Linked DNA regions of Mus musculus. The protein of the gene in region 7 purifies or fractionates together with the protein of the main gene of each other region. This does not show direct contact. Links are inferred from orthologs where the notes say so. Each region holds a gene or a part of one and is shown on either strand. Other genes may lie near its edges. The genes, in order: Hnrnpm, Snrnp200, Ctr9, Khdrbs1, Larp1, Raly and Fus.

Evidence for each region.
Region 1: the proteins of Fus (region 7) and Hnrnpm purify together in Homo sapiens (affinity purification with mass spectrometry; 4 studies listed by BioGRID and IntAct, with this or other methods). This does not show direct contact. The link is inferred for Mus musculus from reciprocal best matches to the Homo sapiens genes FUS and HNRNPM.
Region 2: the proteins of Fus (region 7) and Snrnp200 purify together in Homo sapiens (affinity purification with mass spectrometry; 3 studies listed by BioGRID and IntAct, with this or other methods). This does not show direct contact. The link is inferred for Mus musculus from reciprocal best matches to the Homo sapiens genes FUS and SNRNP200.
Region 3: the proteins of Fus (region 7) and Ctr9 purify together in Homo sapiens (affinity purification with mass spectrometry; 3 studies listed by BioGRID and IntAct, with this or other methods). This does not show direct contact. The link is inferred for Mus musculus from reciprocal best matches to the Homo sapiens genes FUS and CTR9.
Region 4: the proteins of Fus (region 7) and Khdrbs1 purify together in Homo sapiens (affinity purification with mass spectrometry; 3 studies listed by BioGRID and IntAct, with this or other methods). This does not show direct contact. The link is inferred for Mus musculus from reciprocal best matches to the Homo sapiens genes FUS and KHDRBS1.
Region 5: the proteins of Fus (region 7) and Larp1 purify together in Homo sapiens (affinity purification with mass spectrometry; 3 studies listed by BioGRID and IntAct, with this or other methods). This does not show direct contact. The link is inferred for Mus musculus from reciprocal best matches to the Homo sapiens genes FUS and LARP1.
Region 6: the proteins of Fus (region 7) and Raly purify together in Homo sapiens (affinity purification with mass spectrometry; 3 studies listed by BioGRID and IntAct, with this or other methods). This does not show direct contact. The link is inferred for Mus musculus from reciprocal best matches to the Homo sapiens genes FUS and RALY.

The regions. Positions count from the first base shown.
Region 1 is NC_000083.6:33,664,943-33,668,740, forward strand, and holds part of Hnrnpm (heterogeneous nuclear ribonucleoprotein M), read right to left. Parts: intron 1,744-3,798; coding exon 1,552-1,743; intron 704-1,551; coding exon 550-703; intron 1-549. UniProt on the Homo sapiens protein: Pre-mRNA binding protein in vivo, binds avidly to poly(G) and poly(U) RNA homopolymers in vitro. Involved in splicing.
Region 2 is NC_000068.7:127,218,208-127,222,005, forward strand, and holds part of Snrnp200 (U5 small nuclear ribonucleoprotein 200 kDa helicase), read left to right. Parts: intron 1-145; coding exon 146-301; intron 302-821; coding exon 822-992; intron 993-3,537; coding exon 3,538-3,731; intron 3,732-3,798. UniProt on the Homo sapiens protein: Catalyzes the ATP-dependent unwinding of U4/U6 RNA duplices, an essential step in the assembly of a catalytically active spliceosome. Plays a role in pre-mRNA splicing as a core component of precatalytic, catalytic and postcatalytic spliceosomal complexes.
Region 3 is NC_000073.6:111,042,243-111,046,040, forward strand, and holds part of Ctr9 (RNA polymerase-associated protein CTR9 homolog), read left to right. Parts: intron 1-573; coding exon 574-681; intron 682-783; coding exon 784-1,020; intron 1,021-1,174; coding exon 1,175-1,264; intron 1,265-1,371; coding exon 1,372-1,500; intron 1,501-1,593; coding exon 1,594-1,777; intron 1,778-3,134; coding exon 3,135-3,223; intron 3,224-3,798. UniProt on the Homo sapiens protein: Component of the PAF1 complex (PAF1C) which has multiple functions during transcription by RNA polymerase II and is implicated in regulation of development and maintenance of embryonic stem cell pluripotency.
Region 4 is NC_000070.6:129,718,138-129,721,935, reverse strand, and holds part of Khdrbs1 (KH domain-containing, RNA-binding, signal transduction-associated protein 1), read left to right. Parts: intron 1-1,082; coding exon 1,083-1,284; intron 1,285-1,829; coding exon 1,830-1,897; intron 1,898-2,794; coding exon 2,795-2,853; intron 2,854-3,798. UniProt on the Homo sapiens protein: Recruited and tyrosine phosphorylated by several receptor systems, for example the T-cell, leptin and insulin receptors. Once phosphorylated, functions as an adapter protein in signal transduction cascades by binding to SH2 and SH3 domain-containing proteins.
Region 5 is NC_000077.6:58,043,438-58,047,235, reverse strand, and holds part of Larp1 (la-related protein 1), read right to left. Parts: intron 3,331-3,798; coding exon 3,186-3,330; intron 1-3,185. UniProt on the Homo sapiens protein: RNA-binding protein that regulates the translation of specific target mRNA species downstream of the mTORC1 complex, in function of growth signals and nutrient availability.
Region 6 is NC_000068.7:154,860,592-154,864,389, reverse strand, and holds part of Raly (RNA-binding protein Raly short isoform), read right to left. Parts: intron 2,551-3,798; coding exon 2,384-2,550; intron 841-2,383; coding exon 727-840; intron 577-726; coding exon 341-576; intron 1-340. UniProt on the Homo sapiens protein: RNA-binding protein that acts as a transcriptional cofactor for cholesterol biosynthetic genes in the liver. Binds the lipid-responsive non-coding RNA LeXis and is required for LeXis-mediated effect on cholesterogenesis.
Region 7 is NC_000073.6:127,966,046-127,970,514, reverse strand, and holds the start of Fus (RNA-binding protein FUS), read right to left. Parts: upstream 3,037-4,469; 5' UTR 2,951-3,036; coding exon 2,938-2,950; intron 954-2,937; coding exon 929-953; intron 799-928; coding exon 644-798; intron 1-643. UniProt on the Homo sapiens protein: DNA/RNA-binding protein that plays a role in various cellular processes such as transcription regulation, RNA splicing, RNA transport, DNA repair and damage response. Binds to ssRNA containing the consensus sequence 5'-AGGUAA-3'.

The DNA.
Region 1 (3,798 bases), on a different chromosome or scaffold from region 7:
GATGTAACCCGAGGGCAAGCCTACAGCAAGGAAAGGGATCTCTTCAAACAACGTCTCTCTACAACAGACAGAGTCCATAAGGATATATTATAAAGAAATAAAAGCCTCAGTTCTACCGGGCGTGGTGGCGCACGCCTTTGATCCCAGCACTTGGGAGGCAGAGACAGGCGAATTTCTGAGTTCGAGGCCAGCCTGGTCTACAGAGTGAGTTCTAGGACAGCCAGTGCTACACACAGAAACCCTGTCTGGAAAAAAAAAACCAAAAAGAAAAAGAAAAAAAGAAAAACCCTCAGTTCTCATAAATGGTTTATTTCCTAAACTCCTCTGAAAAGAAAAGACCATTCATAGCATGTGTCTATGATACAACCACACCTTTTATCCATCTGTGTTCTACTCCAGAAAAATTTCAGATTCCATAGTAATCTATTTACTCTAGTCACAGAGAAAATAGTTACTTCTACCTTGTTGTCGTAATATACCTAGGTATGCTATTGCCTAACAGTGCTGGGGGCACTGTTTGCCATGAGCTGAATTCCCACAAAAGGATACATATTGCTTGCACAGCTTCAATGGACTGTTCAAAAGTCACAATGCCTATTCCACGACTTTTCCCATCTTTATCTTCCAGAATGTCTGCTCGGACCACCACACCAGCCATACTAAATACTTCCTTCAGTTTCTTCCAGCCAACTTTATAATCCAGCTAGGTGAAAGAAGAAGGTGAAAACTTCAAGGTAAACTTCTCTGGGGAAAAAGACACACTTTTACTATATTAAGATTGCTTTGACTGACTTTACAAGAAAATTAACTTCAGTTGAATTTTTAAATAGGACTGCAAAACTGGGCCTTAACTCTGCTATTTATTGCCTCTCTTCTTAAATGGAACAGAATAAGTCTCCTCACATTTAACAAGCTTTCCCCCTCATACTTAAAAAAGTCAGCAGGATGGTGGTGGTACCTGCCTTTAATCTCAGCACAGAGAAGGCAAAGGCAGGTAGATCTCTTGAGCCAAAGGCCCACCAATGCAACACCACTGAGAAACTGTCTTGAAAATCCCAAAAAGTCACTCTCCTTTTAAGTCTTTCCCCCCTTTTAACTTGTGAACCCACTCAGTTCTAAAAGTATTTGTCCTTGCAGAGAATAAAAATATCACCATTTACTCTAGATACAAAAAAAATGTGAAAATATTGATGGTCTATCCATTCTTCCCTTTACCTAAATAAACCCCAATTAAGGACGCGTACCCAGCTACTGCCTCTGTAGCATCAGAAAGCCTTAGGAAACAAGACCCTAATAGGACTGAGGTGAATCCTGAAGCCACAAATGCAGTGGTCACAAGAACAAAGTAGAAGGCCTACTTAAAATGAAAACAAGCTATCTACCATAAGTCTAACTTAAATTACTCGTATAACAGTGATACAATCAATATAAAGTGTTTTGTACATTTTTCTAATTTGTTTTCATTTTATTTAAAATTAAATGCACACTATTTTCACATTATTTCCGTCCCTCCCTATTTTTCTATTTTAGAGAATGTTCCCATTTACTTACATTTGCTACAAATACTGTGCTTCCAAGTCTTCCAGCCTGTAATGCATGGATAATCTCATTTGGGATGTTAGGATTATTTAGGATACTGGGTGGGATATTAATCATTCCTGGGCCACCTGGTCCCATACCCATCCCACCAGTCGTAGCCATCACCTTTTGCATTGCTCTCCTTGCATGTTCACCATCAGGATCCTGAAAAAAGCATAAAGCGTTACAGCTAGAAGTAGGTCAGAAGTAGGCTTGCAGAAACTAGTGGAACTGCTGCCTTCACCACTACAGAGGCTCTCGTCTGCTGAGGTGCAGCTCAGTGATAGAGTTTCTGCCTAGTATTCCTAAGTACAATCCCTACCCCCAATCATTAAACAAATAAAATAAAAAAGGCTCCCAGTAAAGCACAGTAGCAGTGGTGGTAAAGGTCTGTAACCTTAATTCTCAGGATTGCTACAGCAGCTCAAGGTCAAAGCTGAAGTAAAAAGCTTCAGGGAGGGCTCTGTCACAGTCCAGTCTGGTACCTCTTGCTGTGTACTCGAAGTCTGTCTTTGGATACGACTTAGAGTGGCAGACCTTATCATACGGCACAGTATACACCAGCCACTCCCATTACCAACACCAAAAAAAGCAAACAAAAATCTGCAGACCAACAGACAGTTTGAAAGGTATTTCTCTAATTATTAACAAATGAAATAAACCACAGCAACAAGAAGAGTTCTAGGAAGAGCAACAGTTCAGAAACAAAAAGCATAAAACTAAAAATCTAAAAACAATCTTCAATTTTAACTAAAATGAACGGGTAAGGGATAAAGGATTGGCTGACCAGAGTTAAAAATGCCAGATTGAAACAAGATCTTCATGGGCATGACTCTTACTAATTAGTGTTACTTATGTAAAACTCATCAATGATTTTTCACAAAGTCTTAAATCATCATTCTATAATCCAAGGTTCCCTAAACCCTTCAAGGGCACCAGTGTTGGCATTCAAGTACAGTCAATGCTGTGTATCAGTACCTGAACAGACTTATGGAAATTTGATGCTGGCATGACTATCTATCTTACTCTTATCTGTGTCTATGTGTCCATATAGAGGTATACAGCACATGTACGTGCACTGTGTATTTCCTGCTTGAGTGCTGGAAATCAAATGCAGATCCTCTCTGGAAAAGCAAAAAGCACTCCCAACCACTGAGCCATCTTTACAGCGTGACCCAATTCCTGAAGCCTGCCTCTTCAATTTACCATTAACACGTAAGAACTGACTTATACCTGACCATGCTTTCCTCAGAGTCTCAAATATGCTGTATTCTTCCAAAAGGAAAAGGTCTAAAAGAGCTGCCTTTAATCTACACACTCAGGCAGCTAAGGCAGGAGGATCATGAGTTATAAATTACCCTGGGATACACAGCAAAGAACTAATTTCAGATATTTTAACACTGTTCCCCAAATACACACACAGTCAAGGAGGCAAATAATATTTGGCAGTTAATAAAATATCCTTCTATAGAAAAAAAAAGTATAGTGGCAATCTTGTAGGCACAAAGCCCTGGGTTCAATCTTTTCCGCCACCACCACAAAAACAAACAATGAAACAAATAAAAACCCCATGGTTTGGATTTAATAAAGATGAATACATTCATTTTATAAAATTCAAAGAGGGATAAGATGGCTCAGCAGGTAAATAAATAAGCATTAATACCCGAGCTCAGATCCTCAGTCACCCAAGGGGGGAAAAAAAAAAAGCTGGGGTTGTGGGGCACGCACATCTAGGAAGGGAATGGGAAAGCAATCCACTGGCCCACCAGTCTAGCTTCAACAGTGAGGCCAGGTTTAGTGAAAGCACCTATCTCAAAATCTAAGGTAGAGAGACTGAGGAAGAAAAACATTCACTACTAGCATGGCCACCTGTACACACATGTGTACACATAGGTACATACTACATAGACAAAAATAAAGAGGCAGGTGTTCAGTGACACATCACTGCAATCATAACACTTAGGAAGCTGAGACCACCAGAAACAACAACAACAACAAAACAGATGGGCAACAAAAGAGAATAGTGTTCTGGTTGGTGGATATAAAGACTTCCTAACACAATTCCAATTCTAAAATCCAGAGGCTCAGGTTTTGTATTTCTAAGACAGCAAGGATTGAAGAGTGGTCAGCTCAGGTTACTCAGGATCTGCTATTACAAAGTCACTATCTTCTATTAAAACATCAGACTGAGTACATAGCAATTAAAAGACAAAGAAAGAA
Region 2 (3,798 bases), on a different chromosome or scaffold from region 7:
AGGTATAGCATGCCACCTCTGGCTATTCTCTGTTCTGTGATGGACAACCCACTGGGGCAGTGTTACTTGGGGCAGTCCCAGGGTCAGTTCTGTTTTGGTGGTAGCCCATAGCAGATGAAGAGGCTTTGTCTCTGCCCCCGTCTAGGGTGCGGGCAAGACCAACGTGGCCCTGATGTGTATGCTCCGAGAGATAGGGAAACACATCAACATGGACGGCACAATCAATGTGGATGACTTCAAGATCATCTACATAGCTCCCATGCGGTCCCTGGTCCAGGAGATGGTGGGCAGTTTTGGAAAGGTAAGTCGTATAACTTCTCCAGAAGATACTAACTGCAGCTGGTCATGTGCTAGGGAGGGGCCTATGCATTACTGCTTCTTTTGTTAGGGAAACTCTAGATATTTTTTGCCATTTCCAAGGTAGAATTTGACCCAAGTAATTTCTGAGGCAAAATTGTCTTGACCTGACTTACATGGACACCATCTTTGTTGTATTTTCTTAATGGACTCACTGCATCTTACAATATTTATGTGGAATGAATATGGTTTATAGCTTGTGGGTTTTTACCCCAGTTCCACTTTCCTGCTTCATGAAGGGCTTCCATAGATCCTTTGCCTCTACCCGAGTGGGATTTAAGTAACATTTGTTCATCTTTCCTGACTCACCAGATACTTAACTTCTCCTTGTCCACAGCACAGAAATGGCTGCCAGGCCCTTCAGGCACCGTCTACCATTCTTAGACGTTAGGCAGGCTCCCTGCCACTGAGCTGCATCTCCAGCCCCATCACTCAGTATTGCTGATGATGATTTCTTTCCCCAGCGCCTGGCCACATATGGCATCACTGTTGCTGAGCTGACTGGGGATCACCAGCTATGCAAGGAGGAAATCAGTGCCACACAGATTATCGTCTGCACCCCTGAGAAGTGGGACATCATCACACGCAAGGGCGGGGAGCGCACCTACACCCAGCTGGTGCGACTCATTGTCTTGGTGAGTGGGAGAGAGTGGGAAGGAAAAAACAACTGTGTCAAGGAGTGTTTGGCACTCTAGTTGGTGGCATGAACTTGGGAGAGTGGGGCCTAAATACGAGTCAGACTAAAGTCCCATGCACTAGCCAGCTTTATTCATTCAGACAATTTATACTCTGAGGGTTAACAAGAAGCACATGACTAAGGTGTTCAGTTGCAAGGACAAGGCCACACATGGCCAAACATGTTTTTCTAGAGAGGCATATGAATAACAATAGTGATATAAACTCACTTCTATACCCCACACCTGGGAGGAGCATGGAAACATGTTCCAGGAGTGACGATCATAAGACTCTGGTCATTTTTTTCTTGGAGTTTTCTCACAAGCACCCAAAATCCACACATGACTATTCTTGGACTGTGTTAGGACCAGGGAGCATTGGATTGCCTGTGTTTACTGGTTCTGTTCTTTTTTTGTTCCTTTTTTTTCCCCTATCCTTCTCCCTCTTGTTCCAGCCCCACTTGTTCTGGCTCCGCTTGCTCCAGCCCATAGGATTTTTATTTGTTTCTCATTATGGATGACTGTGAGCCACCATGTGGTTGCTGGGATTTAAACTCATGATCTCCGGAAGAGCAGTCAGTGCTCTTAACTGCTGAGCCATCTCAGCAGCCCCTAGTTCTGTTTCTTTTTTTTTTTTTTTTTTTTTTTAAGATTTATTTATTATATGTAAGTATACTGTAGCTGTCTTCAGACACACCAGAAAAGGGAGTCAGATCTCATTACAGATGGTTGTGAGCCACCATTGAACTCAGGACCTTTGGAAGAGCAGTCGGGTGCTCTTACCTGCTGAGCCATCTCACCAGCCCCCTAGTTCTGTTTCTTAATGCCTTTCTTTTCTTTTCTTTTCTTTTCTTTTCTTTTCTTTTCTTTTCTTTTTGGTTTTGATTTTCTATTTTGAGACAGAGTTTCTTTGTATAACCATGACTGTTGTGGAATTCTCTTTGTAGACCAGGCTGGCCTTGAACTCACAGAGATCCACCTGCCTCTGCCTCCTGAGTGCTGGGATTAAAAAGTGTGTGCCACCATGCCTAGCTTTCCTTAAGGCTCTTCTACGTGCATTTTCTTCATAAGAGTCACTGTGAGCTTTGCTGTTGCCATTAAAACCATAATCTGTATGTAACGGAAGCCTCTTAGACATGCATGCTGTTTGCCACATGCCCCATTGCTTTCTATATCTGATTTTTTTTTTTTTTTAATTTGGCTTTTGGGAAAGACTCTCTATGTAGTCCTGGTTATCTTGGAACTTGTTCTATAGAATATGAAATATTTTGAATCAAATGAAAACACACAAAAATAATTTTGTCCTCCAAGACGATAGAAATGTTTCTTTATAAAATAATCCATTGTCACAAAGGATAAGTAAGGAATTGGGACTTTGCATTCCCTTTACATAGAAGTATCTACAGGGAGTGGACTTTGAGCCTGACGGTTGAATCTGTTTTGTTGTTTTTGCTTTTTGTAATTAATTGCATGTGTTTATTTTCTGTGATGTTGCATGGTGTGTGTGTGTGTGTGTGTGTGTGTGTGTGTGTGTAGGTCAGAGGAAAACTTGTGGATGTCAGTTCCCCTTCCACCATGCGTGTCCTCTATGAATCAAGCTCAAGCCGTCAGGGTTGGCAGCCAAGTCCCTTTACTCTTTGAGCAGTCTCCCTGGCCTCCAGCTTGATTCTTTAAGCTGTCTAAGAAAGCAGGAAAGTAGTTCATAGTCTGTGTTCAAAGTGGAAGTTGGCAAAACTATAGCTATAAGTTTTTCTTTTAATGAACACAGTTATATAGATTGGTTTATGCACTTCTTATAGCTATTATTGTCCTGCTGTGGCTGTGGCAGAACTGAGTTGTTTTTTTGTTTTTTTAAGATTTATTTATTATCATAAGTACGCTGTAGCTGTCTTCAGATGTACCAGAAAAGGGTATCATCAGATCTCAGTATGGGTGGTTGTGAGCCACCATGTGGTTGCTGAGATTTGAACTCAGTACCTTTGGAAGAGCAGACAGTGGTCTTAACTGCTGAGCCATCTTGACAGCCCAGAACTGAGTATTTTTTAACAAGGGTTACATGGCTCACTAGCCTACAGTATTGCGTGTGTGGTACCAGATGTTCAGCCCTTGAAGAAAAGGTTGCTCACCTCTTTTTTAGAGCCTTGCTCTCTGACAGCCGCTCCTACGGGTGCTGAGTCCCTGGCCTGCCCACAGTATCCGCAGTTCTCCCAGTGCTTACTGTATCTCAGAAGCACTGCTGTTGGCGGTGTAAACTTACTGTGCGTAAAGCCCACAAGGGAAGGCTTCTTTGCTCTAACCTGGTCAGAACCGTCATGTATTTGTAAGGAGATTTGTGGTATCATCAAAGGACTCACTCACAAGTGTTAAACAGTCCACACTCAGTGTATATTTCTACTAAAAGCTGTCTTTGTTCTTTAGGATTCCTTGGCTTAAGGGTCCCTCTCTTGTCTTTACTCGGCATGTTAAGACTGTATACTTGTACAGTTTGCATCTTTCTGTTCTTTAGGATGAGATCCATCTTCTACATGATGACAGAGGTCCTGTCTTAGAAGCTTTGGTGGCCAGGGCCATCCGAAACATTGAGATGACCCAAGAAGATGTCCGACTCATTGGTCTCAGTGCTACCCTCCCCAACTATGAAGATGTGGCCACCTTTCTGCGAGTCGACCCTGCTAAGGGCCTCTTCTACTTTGATAACAGGTATAAAAAGAAACTGGAAACTTGTTACCCAGGCAGTCTTCCTGTTCCCTACTCTTCTCTAAGGAGC
Region 3 (3,798 bases), about 17 Mb from region 7:
TACAGAGGATTGTGTGAGCCACCATGTAGGTGCTGAGAACCGAACCTGGGTCTTCTGCAGGAGCAGCAGCTCTTGACTGCTGGGTCACTTCTTTAATCCCTCTCCCATGATTTTTTGGGATGGTATCTCTCTGACTCTAGAGCTCATTGATTCAGGTAAAGCGAGTGCCCATTGAGCTCTCCCTTCCCTGCCTCCCATACTGAGCTCACAGACGCATGGCCAATCTTGCGTGAGTAGTGGGGACCTGCACACAAGTCCTCATGACTGCCAAGCTCTTTCTAACTGAGCCGTCTGTCTAGCCTCTGCCCAGTTTCTTGATGAGTAAATTGAGGCAGGTTACAAGCTTAGAGCTTGATGCTGCATCATTCTTGATTGCTGCTTGTTACAGTTATGATCATTACACACATTATTATATCACATAGTTATTATTTATTGAGGTTAACTGTTACAGTGCTAAAGTTCAACTATTTAGGGAGAAGATGAAAATATACCTTATAGCTAAATGAAATGTTACCAATTACTAGTCAAGCAACCTTCTGACATCACTCAACTTTTTTCCGGTATCAAATTCAGGATTATAGTAAAGTGCAGCACCTGGCTCTCCACGCATTCCACAACACCGAGGTGGAGGCTATGCAAGCAGAAAGCTGTTACCAGCTGGCTCGGTCCTTCCATGTTCAGGTGAGACCATTGTCACCTTCCTAAGTAGTCCTTAACTTAGAGGGTTTCAGGCTTCTGGCCACTTTGACGTGTTGTTGGTCTTGTCTTATTCTCATTTCTCAGGAAGATTATGACCAAGCCTTTCAGTACTACTATCAAGCCACACAGTTTGCTTCATCTTCCTTTGTCCTACCATTTTTTGGTTTGGGACAAATGTATATTTATCGAGGTGACAAAGAGAATGCATCTCAGTGCTTTGAGAAAGTTTTGAAAGCTTATCCGAACAATTATGAAACTATGAAAATTCTTGGCTCTCTCTATGCTGCTTCAGAAGATCAGGAGAAACGAGACATAGCCAAGGTGTGTTCTAAGTCTTAGGTACCCTGAGACTCCAGCTGTGGCTAGCACAGCTGTGAGCAGTATATGGGGCTTCTTACGCAGCTTACGGTAGCCATGTTTAAGGTTGTCATTGCTTACTTTGACAGTGTTATTTTAATGATCTCATTTATCCCAGGGCCATTTGAAGAAGGTCACAGAACAGTATCCTGATGACGTGGAAGCTTGGATTGAGTTGGCCCAGATCTTAGAACAGACTGACATACAGGTATTAATGTCTGCTCTTTATATCCTAAATGATGTGTTTTAATAAGCTGGTGTAGGGTTTCTCTTTGATCTGTGAGTAAATCTTACTCTGTCTACGGTCAAATGCAGGGTGCCCTTTCAGCTTATGGAACAGCCACACGCATCCTGCAGGAGAAAGTGCAGGCCGATGTCCCTCCCGAGATTTTGAATAATGTTGGGGCCCTCCATTTTAGACTCGGAAACCTGGGGGAAGCAAAGGTAAAGAAACAAAACCTTCCTTTTTTCTATGCTTGACCAAGCTGCAGGCACTTGCTCAGCTGTATCCATAACAGTGCCTTTTCTTCCTCACAGAAATACTTCCTGGCCTCACTGGACCGCGCAAAGGCAGAGGCCGAGCATGATGAACACTACTACAATGCCATCTCTGTCACCACATCCTACAATTTAGCCAGGCTCTATGAGGCCATGTGTGAATTTCACGAAGCAGAGAAACTGTACAAAAACATTTTACGAGAGCATCCTAACTACGTTGATTGTAAGAATTTTAGGCTTTTTTGGGGGGGAGAGAATGAGAATGAGAGAGATTATTCCTAAGTTCCCATAATAACAGTAAAAACTTTTTAGGAACGAAAGTCTTTGTTAAAGATGCAGTCTGGAGTGGTAGCACTCTTCTGTCATCCTAGTACTCGAGAGGTAGATGCAGAATGGATCAAGAGTTCAAGGCCAGCCTCCCTACCTAGCAGGTTTGAGGTCACCCTGGCCGTGTATGAGGCCCTGTCTCAGAAACTGAAGTAAGGGGCTCAGGAGATGACTCAGCAGTTAAGGGCACTAGCCATTCTTCCAAAGGATCCAGGTTCAATTCCAGGCACCCACATAGCGGTTCACAACTGTTTGTAACTCCAGTTCTAAGGGACCTGACTCACTCACACAGACATACATACATGCAGGCAAAACACCAATACTCATTTTAAAAAAAAATGAAATAAAACTAACATTGCAGTTTCATTTACTTATGCTGGGAATTACAAGGATCAACAAGAGTCACTTGAGTTGTGCTCAGTAGCTGTGAGTCTGCTGCTGCCGGGCTGCTGCAGGCGAGCTTCACTAGTTAGTGGGCGTCATCTGCAAGCGCTCTTCCTTCACTAGAGGGTTTTGTTTTTGTTTGTTTGTTTTTTTCTTGAAACAATTATTACTAAAATGTCCTAGTTTGAGTTTTTACATCCAAGGCCCTGTAAATGATTGGCATTTCAAAACTAATGTGTGTTCTCTGTGGCAGTTTCTTCTCTCCTGGGCTTCACTCTCTGTAGTTTCATTTGCCTACACTCAGCTCTGCTCTCAAAATAGTAGATGAAAAAATTCTATACATAATTCCTAAATTTCAAATTGTGGACCGTCCTGCATGTGGTGCTGAGACCTCATGGCTCTCCACTCCAGCCAGCCCAGGATGTGCGTTGTCCCAGTACTGTCAGTTGCTGAGCAGTCATTTCAGAGAGCAGCTTGACTGTGGGGTACCAGAATTTGTGTGCAGTGATCCTTACAGTATTTTATAGTGATCCAGCCACATATCTTTAATCCCAGCACTCCAGAGGCAAAAGCATGGGGGTCTCTGAGCTCCAGGCCATCTTGGGCTACATAGTGAATCACAGGCCAGCCAAAGCTCAAGCATAGTAAGACCAGGGTCAAAATAGAAAAGAAAAAAAGAAAAAGAAAGAAAGAGCGACCTAGTGGTGCAGTTTTTCTTTCTCCTAGCTAGAGTGATGTGTCTCCATGTGTGGGGCTTTTCTCTTCTCTCTGAAAGTATTAACAAAATTCAGCTGTTCCAAATGTCAGACTTCAGTGTTAGGACCCGTTAGACATGAGATTGTGAAAATGAATTAAACGTGCACTTTCAGGCTATCTACGCCTAGGAGCCATGGCCAGAGATAAAGGAAACTTCTATGAAGCTTCAGACTGGTTTAAGGAAGCCCTTCAGATCAATCAGGTTAGTGGTATTGACTTGGTTTCAGAAATCTTCTTCTTTTACCTTTCAAAATCAGTCTGTCAGTTCAGTGGCTGTGATGTTTCCCGTAACCATGGCATCTCTGGGTTTAGTGGCTTGTTTTATCTTTGTCTCACTTGTTAAAGACTTTAAAGAGAATAATAGTTTGTATGATTAGTCATCTCATAATCAGAATCTTTTTTTTAAGTATATAAAACTATTTCCCTTCTATTTTTCTCTTCCTTGTCTGCCTCCTGTCTCCTGTACTCAGCCCGGTAGCCTGCTGAGAACAACTTCCAGAGTCAGTGTCTTAGCATTTGTAGGTTATCTGAGTTTCTGATCGTGGCTCACAGTAAGAAGGCTACACATTAAAAGACAGCTTTGCCGGGCGTGGTGGCACACGCCTTTAATCCCAGCACTTGGGAGGCAGAGGCAGACAAGATTTCTGAGTTCGAGGCCAGCCTGGTCTACAGATCGAGTTCCAGGACAGCCAGGACTACACAGAGAAACCCTGTCTCAAAAAACCAAAAAAAAAAAAGACAGCTTTACAAGTTGTTAGTTACTCTTCCTGGTGGGCA
Region 4 (3,798 bases), on a different chromosome or scaffold from region 7:
TTCTGTCTCCCAAGTGCTGTGATTGAAGTCATAGGCCATCATCAAGCTTGACTATATGATATGCTCTTAGAATTAAAATTCATTGTGGTTAATATTTATTCAGAAAGTAGACCTGTCTGAGGTGCTGTGATCCACGATTGAGCCCAGAGAATCTTCTGGTTTAGGTCCTTAAATGTATATTATTATTTTGAAGTCAGTTTTAGAGTTAGAGATGTGCCACAGTTAATAGAGTGTTAGCCTTGCATGCATGTATCTCTGGGTTTGATCTTAGCACTATGCAAACGCCAGGGTATGGTGACACAATTATAATCCCAGCACCTAGGAAGTGAAGGCAGAAGTACAAGGTCATCCTCGGTTTCGTACTGGGTTCAAGACCAGACTGGATTATGTGAAACCTTGTCAAAAACAGAAAGGAAAAGTAAAAAAGGACAAGCAAGAGATGCAAGCTCTGACTTACCAAGTGTGGCTACAGAGCCATCCTTTAAGGAATTAAAATTAGGGGCTGGAGACATGGCTCAGTGGTTAAGAGCACTGACTGCTCTTTCAGAGGATATCAGTTCAATTCCCGGCAACCACATGGTGGCTCACACACATCTCTAACTCGAGGACCCAACACTCTCTTGTTGACACCTTCTTCTGGCCTTTGTGGGCACAGAGTGTTACATAGACATGTCTGCATGCAAAATATCCATACACTTAGAATAAAAATACTCAAGTGTGCATATATACTGGCACATGCCTTCAATCCCAGCACTCAGGAGGCAGAAACAGGAGGATCTCTGAGTTTGTGGCCAGCAGAGTGAGTTCCACACAGAAACCCTGTCTTGGGGGTAGTGGGAAGAACTTTAAGGTTAACTGGATTTGGTAGCACACAGCTTTAATTTTAATACCTAGTAGAGGCAGTGGCGGGTGGATTTATTTGTATGAGTTCCAGAGCTACACAGGAGGCTTTGTCTCAAGTAAGTAAGTAAATAAGTTGTAAAATGTAAAATCATTCTACCTCCAGAATTTATGAACAATCCTTAGTATGAATGTGGACTAATTATTAAATTCTCAAATTAATGTAAATTTTCTTTTTATAGAGGACGTGGTGTTGGACCACCTAGAGGAGCTTTGGTTCGTGGAACCCCAGTGAGAGGCTCCATCACCAGAGGTGCCACTGTGACTCGAGGAGTGCCACCCCCACCTACTGTGAGGGGTGCTCCAACACCAAGAGCTCGGACAGCTGGGATTCAGAGAATACCTTTGCCTCCCACACCTGCACCAGAAACATACGAAGATTATGTAAGAATTGTTTGAACAATGCACCTTTTCTTCCATACCTAGGTTGCCAGAGAAGTTGAGTGATAAGAGTCTTACCCTTGCATGTAACTAGAAAATTTGGAATCTGCATTCTTAGTCAGTTGATTTTTGAACTATGAGATGATTTTTGTACTATTTTAGGCATTATTACTATGTCTGAATAAGCTAAATAAGAAAGTTGTGGTTTGCTGGGCATGGGAGGCACTTGGGAGGCAGAGGCAGGCGAATTTCTGAGTTTCAGGCCAGCCTGGTCTACAGAGTGAGTTCCAGGACAGCCAGGGCTATACAGAGAAGCCTTGTCTTAAAAAACAAAAACAAAAACAAAAAAAAAAAGAAGTTGTGGGTTCAACATACAGACGTTTACTAAGATTGTAATATTAAAACAACCTTTTGGGTTTTGTATTCACTCCACAGGGGTTATTAGTATTTTTGAGAATTTTCCGTAGCCTGTTCATGCACAAGCCCACGGCCCTGTGGCTGTGATTCTCCTGTTTATGCTTTTCTGACCTTCTTCTTTATTGTTCCAGGGATATGATGATACATACGCAGAACAGAGTTACGAAGGCTATGAAGGCTATTACAGCCAGAGTCAAGGGTGAGTCAGGCAAGAAGTCATGTCTGTATAGTGTCCCAAATGGGTGGTGCATGAAGTTGCAGAGAATAAAGATTTGGCTAAACTCTAACCTAAGGAATAGTGTAACTTAACTTATTAAAAGTATTCCCTATGCTTTTGATGACTTGCAGGCATATTTGTGGGTCTGGGAATTTGGATAACTGGATTTTATGTTAATTGAGGTTTTGAAGCTAGTTGATGAACAGTTCTCGAGCTACAAAGAATCAGAGAAAAATACCATTAAATCATTTTTATTAAGAAATGTCACTCAGGTCTAGAAGGAAGTGGGGCAGTTGGTAGATGCTGCCCCAGCATGCATGAAGTCCTGCATTTCATCTTAGCATGGGATCAAGAGTTCAAGAACATCTTGGCATGCAGGAGGCTTTATCTCCTGACAAATCAGATCACCACCCACCTCACCCACACGGGAGATGAGGTAGAAGCTTAACCTAGGTTTTGTTTTTTTGTTTTGTTTTGTCTTAAAATACAGCTTTGATTTTGTGTATATATGTGTCTTGCCTATGATTGCTTGGAAAAGAATCTCAGACATTTGTGATAGGGACAAAACGACCTTTTCCTCTTCTCCTCTGATGAGCTGTATGAATTTTACATACATGATCATATTTTAAGAATCACAATTTAGGTTGTTATTTTTCCACATTAAATTGTATGATACATGTTTATTGTTTTCCCCCCTTGCTATACTTAATTAGGCTTTTTGGTAAATACATGATTTATACATTTTTTAACTATTGGGGTTAGGAATGGAGCAGAATATATATTTATCCCTATTTTATAGATAATAAACTGTCCGAGATGTGGACTATTGAAAGAATGGTAACAAAAAAAGCCTTTACTGTTTTGTTTTTGTATTTTCAGGGAGTCAGAGTATTATGACTATGGACATGGGGAGCTCCAAGATTCTTACGAAGCCTACGGTGCGTTTCTATGTTTATGGTGGGGTAAATGTGCAGTTAAGTGTCTGGGAAAATATTGGCTGATGGAGTCTTGGGAGTCAGGCGATCACTTCTCTGAGGAGATTCCATTAGAAGACTGCTGAGGTGGTCGATGTCACTTTGGGGTTCTGCTCTCAAATCCTATGGTTTGTGTGTCCTGGAGATTAGGTCTTGCAGTGCCACAATGGTACACTTCCCATGTCTCGCTGACTGGTTTCTGTTAGGTAATGCATGCCTAACTCAGCTGGTGGTGGGCCTTTTGCTACTGATACCCTTGGCCATGTTGGTAGAATTTTTTTTTAAAGATTTATTTACTTATTATATATAAATACACTATGTCTTCAGACACACCAGAAGAGGGAGTCAGATCTCATTACAGATGGTTGTGAGCCACCATCTGGTTGCTGGGATTGGAACTCAGGACCTCTGGAAGAGCAGTCAGTGCTCTTAACTGCTGAGCCATCTCTCCAGCCCAATGTTGATAGATATTAAGAACTTTTTTTTTAAAGCTCTATTCTCTTTCCCCCTTCCTCAATAAAAAGAAAAAAATTGGAACTCTCTGAAAATAATACTGTTGCAAAGAAAATGCCAGCTGAAAGCAGCTTAGTAGAGCCGACAAGTAGGGGAAACAGTACCTGTTGAATTAAATCAGGTTTTCAGGACTGGGGCTGTACTGACTGGTTTTGTGTGTCAATTAACACAGGCTGGTATTACCACAGAGAAAGGAGCTTTGGGAAAGTGCCTCCATGAGACCCAGCTGTAAGGCATTTTCTCAATTAGTGATCAAAGGGGGAGGGCCCCTTTTGGTTGGTGCCATCCCTGGGCTGGTAGTCTTGGGTTCTAGAAGACAGCAGGCTGAGCAAGCCAGGGGAAGCAAGCCAGTAAGAAATATTCCTCTGTGGTCGCTGCATCAGCTCCTGCTTTCTC
Region 5 (3,798 bases), on a different chromosome or scaffold from region 7:
ATTAGACTTTCAGTCCCATCCCATCCCCCCTTCCTTCAAGACAGTGTTCCCCTGTGTAGCCCTGGCTGTCTTGGAACTCACTTTGTAGACCAATGTGGCATCAGACTCAGGAGATCTGCCAACCTTTGTTTCTCAAGTACTAGAAATAATTATAAGCGCCCTCACACCCAGCTTAAAGATCTTCTATGTAAGCTCTGAAACCTTCTGAGAGAAAGAAGGGAAGGGAAGGCTCAGCATGTGGTGCCCTGCATTGTGCAGGGAAGAGAAGCAGAGAGAGTGTACAAGACACACTTTACAAAGGGCTATGCAGTTTCACCTTTGTATCAGCCACCCTACTTTCTAAAAATCTTTGCCAACAGAAAACTAAATACACAAGGTCTTCTGTTATAGACATATGTTCTCGGCATGTTAGTAAAAAGCAGTTAAGAGAGCTGGCTGCTCTTCCATAAGTTTCAGGTTCCATTTACAGAACCCACATGATCACACAGACCATCTGTACCTCTAGTCCCAGGGGCAATTCACTACCCTCTTTTTTAAAAAAAGATTTATTTATTATTATACATAGGTACACTGTAGCTGACTTCAGACACACCAGAAGAGGGCGCCAGATTTCTTTATGGATGGTTGTGAGCCACCATGTATTGCTGGGACTTGAACTCAGGAAGAGCAGTCGGTGTTCTTACCCACTGAGCCATCTCGCCAGTCCAATTCACTACCTTCTTATGGCCTCTGCAGGCACTGCATAGAGTTGACAGACAGACATATATACAGACAACCCCTTCCCTTTTTCTCCCCCACCTCCCTACTTACTTGTAAAGGAGGCCTGGAAACAACCATGATCTAAATGGTTGAAACACCATGGATGGTGCACTGCTCAACTTAAAAAGAATGGAAGCATGCATCTATTTTATACATCACTTTGCAGTTAGCTCCCAGATATATAAAATGAAACAATACAAGTGGTAAAATACCTGTGTGATGTATCACCATATTTAGCAAGAAAAGGAGGAGATGAATATAGGCCAGTAGAGAACCAATAAGAATTTATCTGTGTTGCTAGGCAGTGTTGGTATACGCCTATAATCCCAGTACTCAGCAAGCAGAGGCTAGGGCAGAGGCAGGGGAATATATGTGACTTCAAGGCCAGTTCCAGATGAGCCAGGACTAAATAGAAAAATCCTGTCTCAAACAAACAAAATCCGTGTGTGTGTGTGTGTGTGTGTGTGTGTGTGTGTGTGTGTGTGTAAATATAAATTTTAAAAAAAGGTTGCAGACTGTCTGAGGTGATTCCAGAAGGGGTAAAAATTACAAATTTTTAAAAATTATTTTATTTATTTACACCCCAAATGTTGAACCTCCTTTCCCACCTCCCTTTGCCTCTAAGAGGGCATGCCCCTCCCCCAAAATGACAGTTTTAATACTTATATACCATGTAGAGACTTTGAAACCATGTATTTGTTCTACTTAATTTTTTAAAAATTTAGAATTATGATGACTGATAGAATCCTCAAAACTTGAATCCAAAATAAAACTAATACATATAATTTAAAGGAATAGTAACACAAAAAAATATTCTCATGACTCGGAGTAGCATTCACCTGACTATATATAAATTACCAAAAAGAAAGCAAAAATCAATCTGCATATACTGTAGATTAAAACAAATGGATTGGCAATCTGGGACATGGAATTTAAAGGGGGTTGGGGAGCTGGGCATGGTAGTACACACCCTTAACCCAGCATTTGGGAGGCAGACCCAGGTGGGTGGGATTCTAAGTGTTCCAGGCCAAGCTGATCTGCATAACAAGTTCCAGAACAACTAGGGCTTCAAAGAGAAACTGTCTCTTAAAAAAGAAAAATTGCCATCTCCTATAGTGTTTTACTCAACTTAGAAACGATAACCAGCCAAGTATGAATAATAGCAAACCAGTTACTCAGAAGAGGAATTAATGTTTCTTTAAAGGCAGCCTACCTGGAGCAGGGTGCAAAGCAAAGTATGATCCAATAATGAAATGAGAAAGTATCCAGGGCAATCTATATTGCTTATAACATACAGTGCTAAAGAGAAAAGTCCTGAAATCCTACCAGTTACCTTTCAAGGATTTGGGGAACCACTTCAGAGTTCAATGAACTGTTCACAGAGTGAACAGGGTCAAACCCATAAACCCGTCCTTCCTGTTCTTCCTCTTGTCTACCTCTGGTAAACTGAACAACTGAGAAGCAAGGGTCTCCTCAAACTCTCCTCAAAAGTTAAGGGAAGGTTGACTGAAGGATTAGAGTACTGCTATTTTGCAAGCCCTAAGAAAAGTGTCCCTGTAATAGCTGCAGTAGTTTTTATCTCAGGAGATAATTGTCATATGCTACCCCAAAGAAGACACATGTCATTGACAAAGCCCTGAATCTCATTATGCCCCTAAGTTATCCAAACTCAAGACATGTGAGATGTTACCTGTCCCATGAGACATGTAGGCATGTATAGGATACATGACCTAGTCTACCCTACAAATGATTAGCAAGGAAGAATAAAAGGATAGCCGGAAATACAAGACAATACACAGATCTGATCTGGACTCTAATTTTTTTTCCAAAGCACTTAAAAGATTTATTTATTTATTTATTTATTTATTTATTTATTTATTTATTTATTTATTTATTTATTTATTTATATGAACACACCATAGCTGTCTTTAGACACATCAGAAGAGGGCATCAGATCTCATTACAGACGGCTGTGAGCCACCATGTAGTTGCTGGGAACTGAACTCAGGACCTCTGGAAGAGCAGTCCATGCTCTTAACCACTGAGCCACCTCTCCAGCCCTGGACTCTAATCTTTAAAACCCCTTTTTAACAACATTTAGCAGGAGTTGAGGAGAATCTGAAAGGGGGTAACTGATGATGTTATAGACCTGTTCTATTTGTAGAAGTGATAATGATGTTGTAGCTACTAAAGGCTAGCTAGATTGTCTCTAGGAAGACCTAGGAAAAGCAGATGAAGGGTACACAGGCAGATCAGCTATAGCTGACTCTTGCTGAAGTTGGTGAGGTGCTTGCTGTATGTAACATGGTGGCACCTTGGGACTCAGTAGAAACAGTTAGTGGGAACTCTGTCAGGGTTTACCCATCAACTCAGGACTCACAATGAGGATCTTATTTTCCCACCATCATCCCCAGGAAGAGACATACCGCAAAGATGAGTGAAATGTCAGTGGTTAGGGCCTGTACACGGTGAAAGGAAGCAATAAGGGTGATGGGAAGGAAGCCATCAGCATCCATTTTCCGTCTCAGGAAGAAGTCTCGCTCTAAATTGTCCACGCTGAAGTAATATTCACTAAGTGGAGGGGAAAAAAGGCATCACTGAGGGGCTATGGGCCTTCCCTGCTCCCTCTCCGTCCCCACAACCTCACATTCCTGACTTCACTCTTCTCCTGCTGGACAGCTTAAGGCAGCTGTCTTTCAACCTGTGGGTTGTGACACCTGGGGTGTGTCCCTTACACACGGGTCACCTAAGACCACTAGAGAACATAAATATTTACATTATGATTCATAACAGTAGCAAAACTACAGTTATAAAGTAGCAACAAGAATAATTTTATGGTTGGAGGTCACCATAACACAAGGAAGAACTGTATTAAAGAGTCCCAGCATTAGAAAGTTTGAAAATCACTGGCTTAAAGGCTGAAAAGAAATGATGTACTATTGCTTTGAGTCAAATCACCCAGTCTTTCAGCTATCACAGGTGAGCCCAACAAACTAATCCTCTTTTGAAACTCAGGTCCAACACTATTCTGCTACTAAA
Region 6 (3,798 bases), on a different chromosome or scaffold from region 7:
AAATTATGATTTAAAATTAAAATCCCCATCTTCTCTCGGCTTCCCCTGTCAACCCCAACCTTCCCTGAGAAGCTATGTGTTGTGTACCTCCTAGGCCCAATTCTCCTCCTCTTCAATACACCCCTAGCTTTGCCAAGCTCTGTCTTCAGTGGGGCTTCATATCAGCGACTCAAACAGTGAACTACACTCAGCTCATTCTTGCCTACTCCTCACAGGACTGAGGCTCTAGAAAGCAGAAAGGAGGGAGCTCACACGGAGCAGCCAGTTCTGGTTCTTCTACTGTCGCCATTTTGACAGCCCAGCCCTTCCAGGTCACACACACACGTAGCCAGACCCTTACCAGCTCCTCCTCGCTATGTGTTAGCAGTCCCTCCTCATCACCATCATCTCGAGTTTGGACTTCTCCTTGGGGTGTGCCTGCCTCAGAAGCCGTGTCTTCTTGGGGCGCTGGTAGCCGGCTGCTGCTGCTGCAGCTCCCGCTGCCGCCGCTGCTGCCACCACCAACATTGCTACTGCCGCCTCCACCACTGCTGCCTCCTCCTCCACCACTGCTGCTGTCACCCTTCTTCTTGCCATCTTGAAGGATAAAAGAAGTGGGAAAGGGACAAACTTCAGCTGGGGCAGCCTACTTAGCACACCTCGGTGAGAGCTGGCCACTCCACAGCAGGATCTCACGGCCCCTAACCCTCCGGCACTGTCTTCCCCAGGGCTGCCCTCAAAGCTGACCTGGGTTGGCCTTCTGTTCCTCAGCAATCTGTTCCAAGCGACCCAACAGGGCATCGATGTTGGACTTGATCTGTGTCAGCTCTGTTTTGATGGTCTGTAGCTCACTGCTCTTTACTGAGAATAGAGAGGAGACAGGATTATCACTTAGGGGCATGATGCAAACAAACCCAGCCTCATTCTGTCAACTAGAGTGGCAATTATTTTTCTGGTTCTTTTCTGCCCAGGAAAAGGTCTCTTCTTCAGAGAACTGAGAGGCCATCCATACAGTGCCAAGCCCATACATATGAACCTGGCCATTTGAGACCTCTCAATCCTATGGGGACTACAGGTGACTAGGAATGTAAGTGGTAGATGTTCCTATAAACACCTACGGAATGGCATGTGTCTTAGCTGTGTTATATAGGGTGGGGTCTGTTTTTAAAGATACAGGGGGTCTTTTGCAATTAGATTTCCTGGGTGCCTTAATGAAGTATACAGAGATCAGAATAAAACTGCCCTTACTTTCTCCTTACTAGAGAAAAAAAAAAAAACATTGCTATTTCTTCAGTGGGTCTCACACCACAGCACTTGACTTTTTCCAAAGGACTCAGTTGTGTAAGAGCAGTAACTTCAACTGTGGATTTGTTCCTTTATTTTATTTTTAGTTTATTTCTGTATTTTTTAAATGTCAGTATGCTCTGTATGTGTACTTGCACTCAAATATAGAGCATCCGATCCCTTTATAGTTGGTCATAATCCATCATGTGGTTGCTGGAAATTGAACTCAGAACCTCTGGAAGAGCAGCCAGTGTTCTTTTCTGCTGAGCCATCTCATCAGCCCTGAGCCTTTATTTTTTCAATGTTAAGAAAGTATGCTTTACTGGGGGCATAGGGGTGGAGGGAATTTGCTGGTCTTTAATCCCAGCAATCAGGAGGCAGAGGCAGGCAGATCTCTGTGAGTTCAAGGCCAGCCTGATCTACAGAGTGAGTTCCAGGATAGCCAGGGATACAGCGAGAAACCATGTTTCAAAAAATAAAACAAATGAACAAATAAAGCAACAACAACAATGAGCATGACTCTAGGGCCTGGAGAGGTGATTCAGTGGCTAAGAGCACTGGCTGCCCTTATAGAGGACCTGAGTTTCCCAAGTTACCCGTAACTTCAGTCAGGGGAGACTTGTCACCTGCTTCTTGCCTCCCAGGCACTGCATATAAATGGTGCAGAGACATATATGCAGGCAAAACACCCATATGCGTAAAATAAAATATTAAAAAAAAATCAATTGTTAAAAATGGAATTCTATCATTTTAGTGGTGGTAAAAACCAAACCGTCTAGCTTAGGGGTTCTCGACTCCTGATGCTGCAAGTGACCCTCAACCATAAAATTACTTTATTGCTACCTTATACCTGTAATTTTGCTACTATTATGAACTGTAATGTAAATATCTGATATGCAGGATATGCAACCCTCAAAGGAGTCAACAATTCACAGGTTGAAAACCACTGATCTAGAAAGATTAAAGTATGTCACCACAATGTAGTTGTGCACATCTTTAATCCCAGAACTCAGGAGACAAAGGCAAAAGAATCTTTCTAAGTTTTAGGTAGTCTGGCTTACATGAGTTCCAGGCCAGCTAGAGATACACAGATAAAAATAAAAAACTAGATGTTACCCACACTTGATTTTGGCTGAGCCAGTAGTGACAGCTGTGGAGCGGGCAAAGAGCTTGACAGGTATCGTAGTTTTGACACGGCGAACCAAAGGGACTGTAACACGGGGTCGCTTCACCGGAACTGCCCTGGGCACAGGCACTGGAGAAAGGCGGCCTCGATAATCAAACAGCCTGTGAAGGTAAATAGACCAGAGGCTGCAGCATGGCCTGTGACTACCAGTAGGCACTACAACACTAGCTTTACCTGTGTAGCCTGTGAGGGCCAGGGAGGAATGGTCTTCCAAGAAGCCCTGGTGTGAAAAGGGCTTTCTGGAGCCTGAAGGCTGATGAAATCCTTACTATTCCCACCTTACTCCCAGGCAGGCCAAGAGAAGCGGTGTAGGAACAAACAGCTCAGTGTCAGAAAGGAGCCTGTCCTGAGGTCACTGAGGCCTGCCCTCTACTCACAACTGCCACCATCAGTTTGTAAATCTCACAACAGCATGAGCTTCCACCCTCTGAACCTTGGTTTTCCCAACTACTTAGTGAGGATGGCTATTCACGGTCTACCTGTGTGTACAGTAAGGGTAGAACATGAGAACCTGGTTAAAAACACCTGAGAAGGTTTAACAAGTGAAATCCAGGACACCAGGGAACTGATTACCCAACAGAGAAGCCCAGGACTCCAGACTCTAAGGCCTTTCTTTCCTGTGGACCACTTCAGCACACTTTTTCTTCAGATACAGGCCAAGAACTTAACAGCATTTCAAGGGTGGGCATATAAATTAGATCCAAAGCTTCCAGATTGTGTGTTCTCACGCTAATATCAAAACCTGGCCCTCTCCAGAAGGGCTACTTTTTCTGAATACAAGACAAAAACTTAGAAGACTAAGTAGGAAGCTCTCCCACCAAGTCTGCTATTACCACGGTTCTGAAGGGAACCACAGCCTTGGTCAGGAACTATTTTCTGAATTAGTCATGGTAGCTGCCATCAGTATGAAACTCAAAAAGTCCAATTTTTTGGTGCTCTTTTCAAAGAGTCCTGCAACTGGTGGCAGATGGTGATCAGTCTCTGGGAATGAATGCAATACCTGATCCTGCATTTGACCTGACCCACGAGAGGAGGTGATGACTCTGGCCTTGGTCAGAAATCACAGAACCATAGAATTCCAGAGATACAGGAATCCTGAGAGGTCACTTGGTGTAAGCCTGTCTTACTGACTAGTAGAATGGGAATTTGCCAAAAGCCAGATAATCCATTCACTGGCAGAGTTTAGATTAGCATACAATCTCCTCCCTTCTGGGCTCTAGCACTTTCCACTGTACCACATTATTTACTGAAAACACTCACAGCAGAGAAAATGGTTCAGAAAAATTCTTTTCCCTAGGCTGTCTGAGGGAGAAAGAAGGAAGAAGAGGTCTGACTCAAACTTTACTACA
Region 7 (4,469 bases):
ATTCCACATCTTCAATGTCACTAATATCACTGTTTAATAAAGGTTCAATTCCATTCTATCTGTCCTAAATCTAGACACCTGTGCCACTAATCATAACACAAAAGATTCCTACAAACTGCATTTTAATCTGTTTTTGTTTTTTTCAAGACAGGATTTCTGTGTAGCCCTTGGCTGTCCTGGAACTCACCTTGTAGACCAGGCTGGTCTCCAACTCAAGATTCAAGAGATCTACTAGCCTCTGCCTCCCAGAGTGCTGGATAAAGTTGTGTGTGCCACCACTCCTGGCCCTAACTACATTTTAAATGTGCTGATATGGAAAGAAAAATGTTTTGCCCTTGTGAGGTAAAAATGGCACCACCTCTGTGAATCACAGATTGTCAGCCAACTTCAAGAATTCCCAAGCAGACCATTTCCTTCCTATCCGTCATTCTAAACTGGTTCTCTCTTTAGCAAACTTGCTTTTTCACAAAAATAGTAAGCAGGAAGAAAATAGTCCAATATAAAATCAATTACAAATCAGTATTTTTGTTTTAAAAGAATGACTACAAAACTTTAGGGAAAATGTGGGAATTTCGGTATTGTTCAGGTTTAAGAAAAGTTAACATTCATAAAGAAATGAAGATGTGTTCTACTAAGAACTCACTGTTTTGGGTCTGTCCATAAGAAGAACCATAGCTGCTCTGGCCGTATCCTGAAGTGTCAGCTGACTGGCCATAACCACTGTAACTCTGTTGGCCATAGGGCTGACTGCTCTGTTGGGAGTAGCCCTGCCCAGGCTGGGTAGGATAGGCCCCGTAGCTACAAGAAAACAGACCAGTAATCTTCAACTAAAAGAATAAGAACAAAAGCATACAGAAATACATAAAACTCAAGTTAGATCAATCACCCTTGCTGTCTTCTAGCATCAGACCAGAAACAGTATACTCACCTTTGAGTTGCTTGTTGGGTATAGTCTGTAAAAGATGGGAAAGAAAAAGGTCTTAATTTTAGTTAAGAATAGAAATAAATTCTTCAACTTTTGTACTAGGCACTCCAGATGAAACAAATCTACAAAAACAGGCATAAGTTAGTTCCTCATGAGACAAAATGGCCAAGTTTTATTACAAAAAGCAAAGAAAGCACAAATTTCTAGACACCAATAAGTCTTAGACTTTTGTTCTGGGTAGAACCCAGGGCTTGCTTGGGACCCACTAAACAAGCGACCACTAAGCATGACAGCCACAGAGCTCTGTGGGTGGACTGGTTCTCTATCTAGAGGCAGGGTTTCTCTGCATAGAACTCACTCTGTAGACCGGGATGGCCTCCAATTTAATACATACAAAGCTCCATCTGCCTCTGCCTCCCAAATGCTGGGATTAAAGATGCCCCACATCGGACCGGGCGTGGTGGCGCACGCCTTTAATCCCAGCACTTGGGAGGCAGAGGCAGATGGATTTCTGAGTTCGAGGTCAGCCTGATCTACAGAGTGAGTTTCAGGACAGCCAGGGCTACACAGAGAAACCCTGTCTCGAAAAAAAACAACAACAACAAAAAAAAAAAATCCAACATCATGTCCTTTTTGCCTTTTTTCTTTTTTGAGACAGAAGTCTCGATTATGTATCTATCCCAGAATTCAATATGTAGACCACCTCGAACTCACATAGATCTGCCTACTTCTACCTCTTAGTCCTGAAACTAAAGGTGTGTGCCACCAAACCTGGCTCAATCTTTAAAAAAAAAAAAAAAAAAAAAAAAAAACTCAAAATACAGATCATCCCTTAAGTTTAAAAATCCTTTTGACTTGTTGCAGGTCTTTCCAAGGCCTGCAACACACGTCACCACATTTTATATCTTCACAGCAGCTCTGTATACAGGAAAGGTGGTATCACCGGATGTCAAGATTAACTTTGACAGTCAGCGCTATTACACAGTTGAGTTCAAGCCCAAGGAAGCAGCTAGAAGAATGGGACTCTCCAACCCCCAAATGGCATGGTGCTCCCAAGGTTCCCGACGTGTGGCTCCAAATAACTGAGCTCCCGCCTACCATGCGCACCCAAAGCAGACAGCACTTTCAACAATCTGGGAAGCTGTAGCTCAGCAGCTCCCTGCAGGAAACCCAAGCTCTACCCCCGCACTGGGACAAAACTGACAGCGAGAGGGTGTGGCCTCGGAGAGCGACTCCTCTGATTTCCTTCCGGCCTTAGGAAAACTCAACTCTGAAGTGGGAAACTCAGGCCGGGGTCCCTGACTCCGTTGGTCATCCCCTGGCGGTCCTCCCAATCCCACGGACACGCAGGCCAGCCAGGAGCTTCCGCTCCCGCTGCGCGGCCACGGAGGCGGGAAGAGGTGGCCCCGCCCCTTCCCAAGGGACCCAGCGAGCAGGGCGAGGCCAGCACCGGACCACAAGTCTTCCGCCGAGGGTCTCGCGACAAAAAAAAAAAAAAAAAAAAAAAAAAGAAGAAGAAAGAAAGAAAGAAAGAAGAAGAAAGAAAAAAAGAAAAAAGTAAAAAAAACGGACCAACTCCTGGCGGGGGGGAGGGGGGCCGCGGCGAGAAGGGGGAGGGGCCAGAGGAGCGCGTGCGCGCACCAAGTGCCCGGATGCAGCACTGCGACAAAGCGAGGCCGGGAACGGAGGGAGGGGAGGGGGTGGGGCGAAGCTGCGGAGACCCAGAGCTCCCTCACCCCGGTCACCCCACGTCGCCAGGCAGCGTCTCTCTCAACACTCGACTCAAGTGACCGGGCCAGGAGAGAAAACCCACGGTCTCCGCGCCAAAGGCGCCAGGGGAGCCAAACAAAATGGCGACACCGCCCTCCCCTTCCCTCCACCCGCTGCTTCCCGCCAGAGGTGGGGGAGCCCACTCGCCCGCCACCGCAGGCCCAGCCGAAAGCCAAAAGCCTTGCTGCGAGGGAACGAGGCCTCGCAGGGACGCGCCGTCGCCGCCTCGCGCTCCCACATACCGTTTGAAGCCATGTCCGCGCACGCGCGCAGCGCAGGCCGCCAAGCAACAAAGTTCCAGACGACCGCGAAGCGATGCCGCGAGGACTGAGCGGCCCCGCCTCCCGCGCCCGCCTTAAGTACGCCTGCCGCCTACGCGCCACCGGGACGTACCAAGTGGAGAAGCGCGAGGGGGAGGCACGCCCAGGTCCCCACCCTTCCCCGGGGATACGGAGAGCTCAGGAAGACAAGAGGGAAAACGAACTCGCTTTATTCCCAAACACTCGCACGCGCTTTCTCCTTGCGGCCGGTGGCTCTCGTCCGTCGCCCGGGGCTCGCCTTCGACACACCTCTACCCCACTAGAGGCAGAATGGTACGACCCGGCCTCCCGCTAGGGGCGGTGCCAGGGCCCTGCGCCCGAGAGCGGAACTGTGTAGTCAAGGCCTGGAGTCTCCGGGTGTGGGAACCGAAATCCTTCCGACCGGCCCAGCGGCTGGGCCCCACTTTCACTGGGGAAGATGCAGCATACTTTCGCTTGCCCTGGCCTAGCAACTGAGTCGAACGCAGTGTCGCTCTGGTCCTCCACATTCTCTCCTGACAGACAGCACACTGATCAGTCTCGTTTTTCACTTAGGAATGCCTCGGCTTGCTGTTCTTTAGACCTTAACAAGGTTTATAGATTGTGACGTTTAACCTGGAAGAAGATGAGCTTTAGTCTGGACCCTATGGCCCTAAGGCTGGTTCAACAATAACACATATGTATACAACTTAAGAGGCTTCAAACCCACAATTACCCCCCCCCTTTTTTTTTTTAATTTGGCCTCTCAGTACCGCTCAGTTGATCTCGAATCCTTGATCCTATTTGCCTTAGCCCTGTGCATCCTGGAATTACAGTCGTCCTGGTTTTCCCCCATCATCATCTTGTAAAGAAATCTGAGGAATGTAGCTTAATGATAGAGCGATCGTTTAGCCTGTGCATGACCCTGCCTACCTCTCCAGTCCCGGAGCTAGGCAGAGGTGGAGGGGAGATGGATCTTATGAGAGCAGTGAGCGGCTAGACTAAGAATGTGAATGAGGTACGAGGCAGTTCAGGGTCAGACCTTCTGATCTTTAAAGTCTAAGCCTGGGGAACTACAAAATGCTTCTTGGTTACAGGAAATGATTGAAAGCATTTAAAGGCATGAACACTTTTTGTCAGTTCAAGGACAAAACGAAATTCAAGGGGGTTGGAGAGACAGCTGCTCTAGAGAAACCACAGGTTCAATTCCTAGTACCCGAATGTGGGCAAACAACCAACTGTAATTCCAATACCAGGGACTCTGGGATCACAGAGATCAGGTAATTCATTTTGCAATGAGTAGGTTAGGATGGGTCTGAGGGAATGACATTTCTACTGGGAGTTTACCAAGTGGATAAGAACAAAAATGACGGGTTGGAGAGAGGGCTCAGCGATTAAGAGCACTGACTGCTCTTCCGAAGGTCCTGAGTTCAAATCCCAGCAACCACATGGTGGCTCACAACCATCCATAACGAGATCCAGAAGAGGAGAGGGGT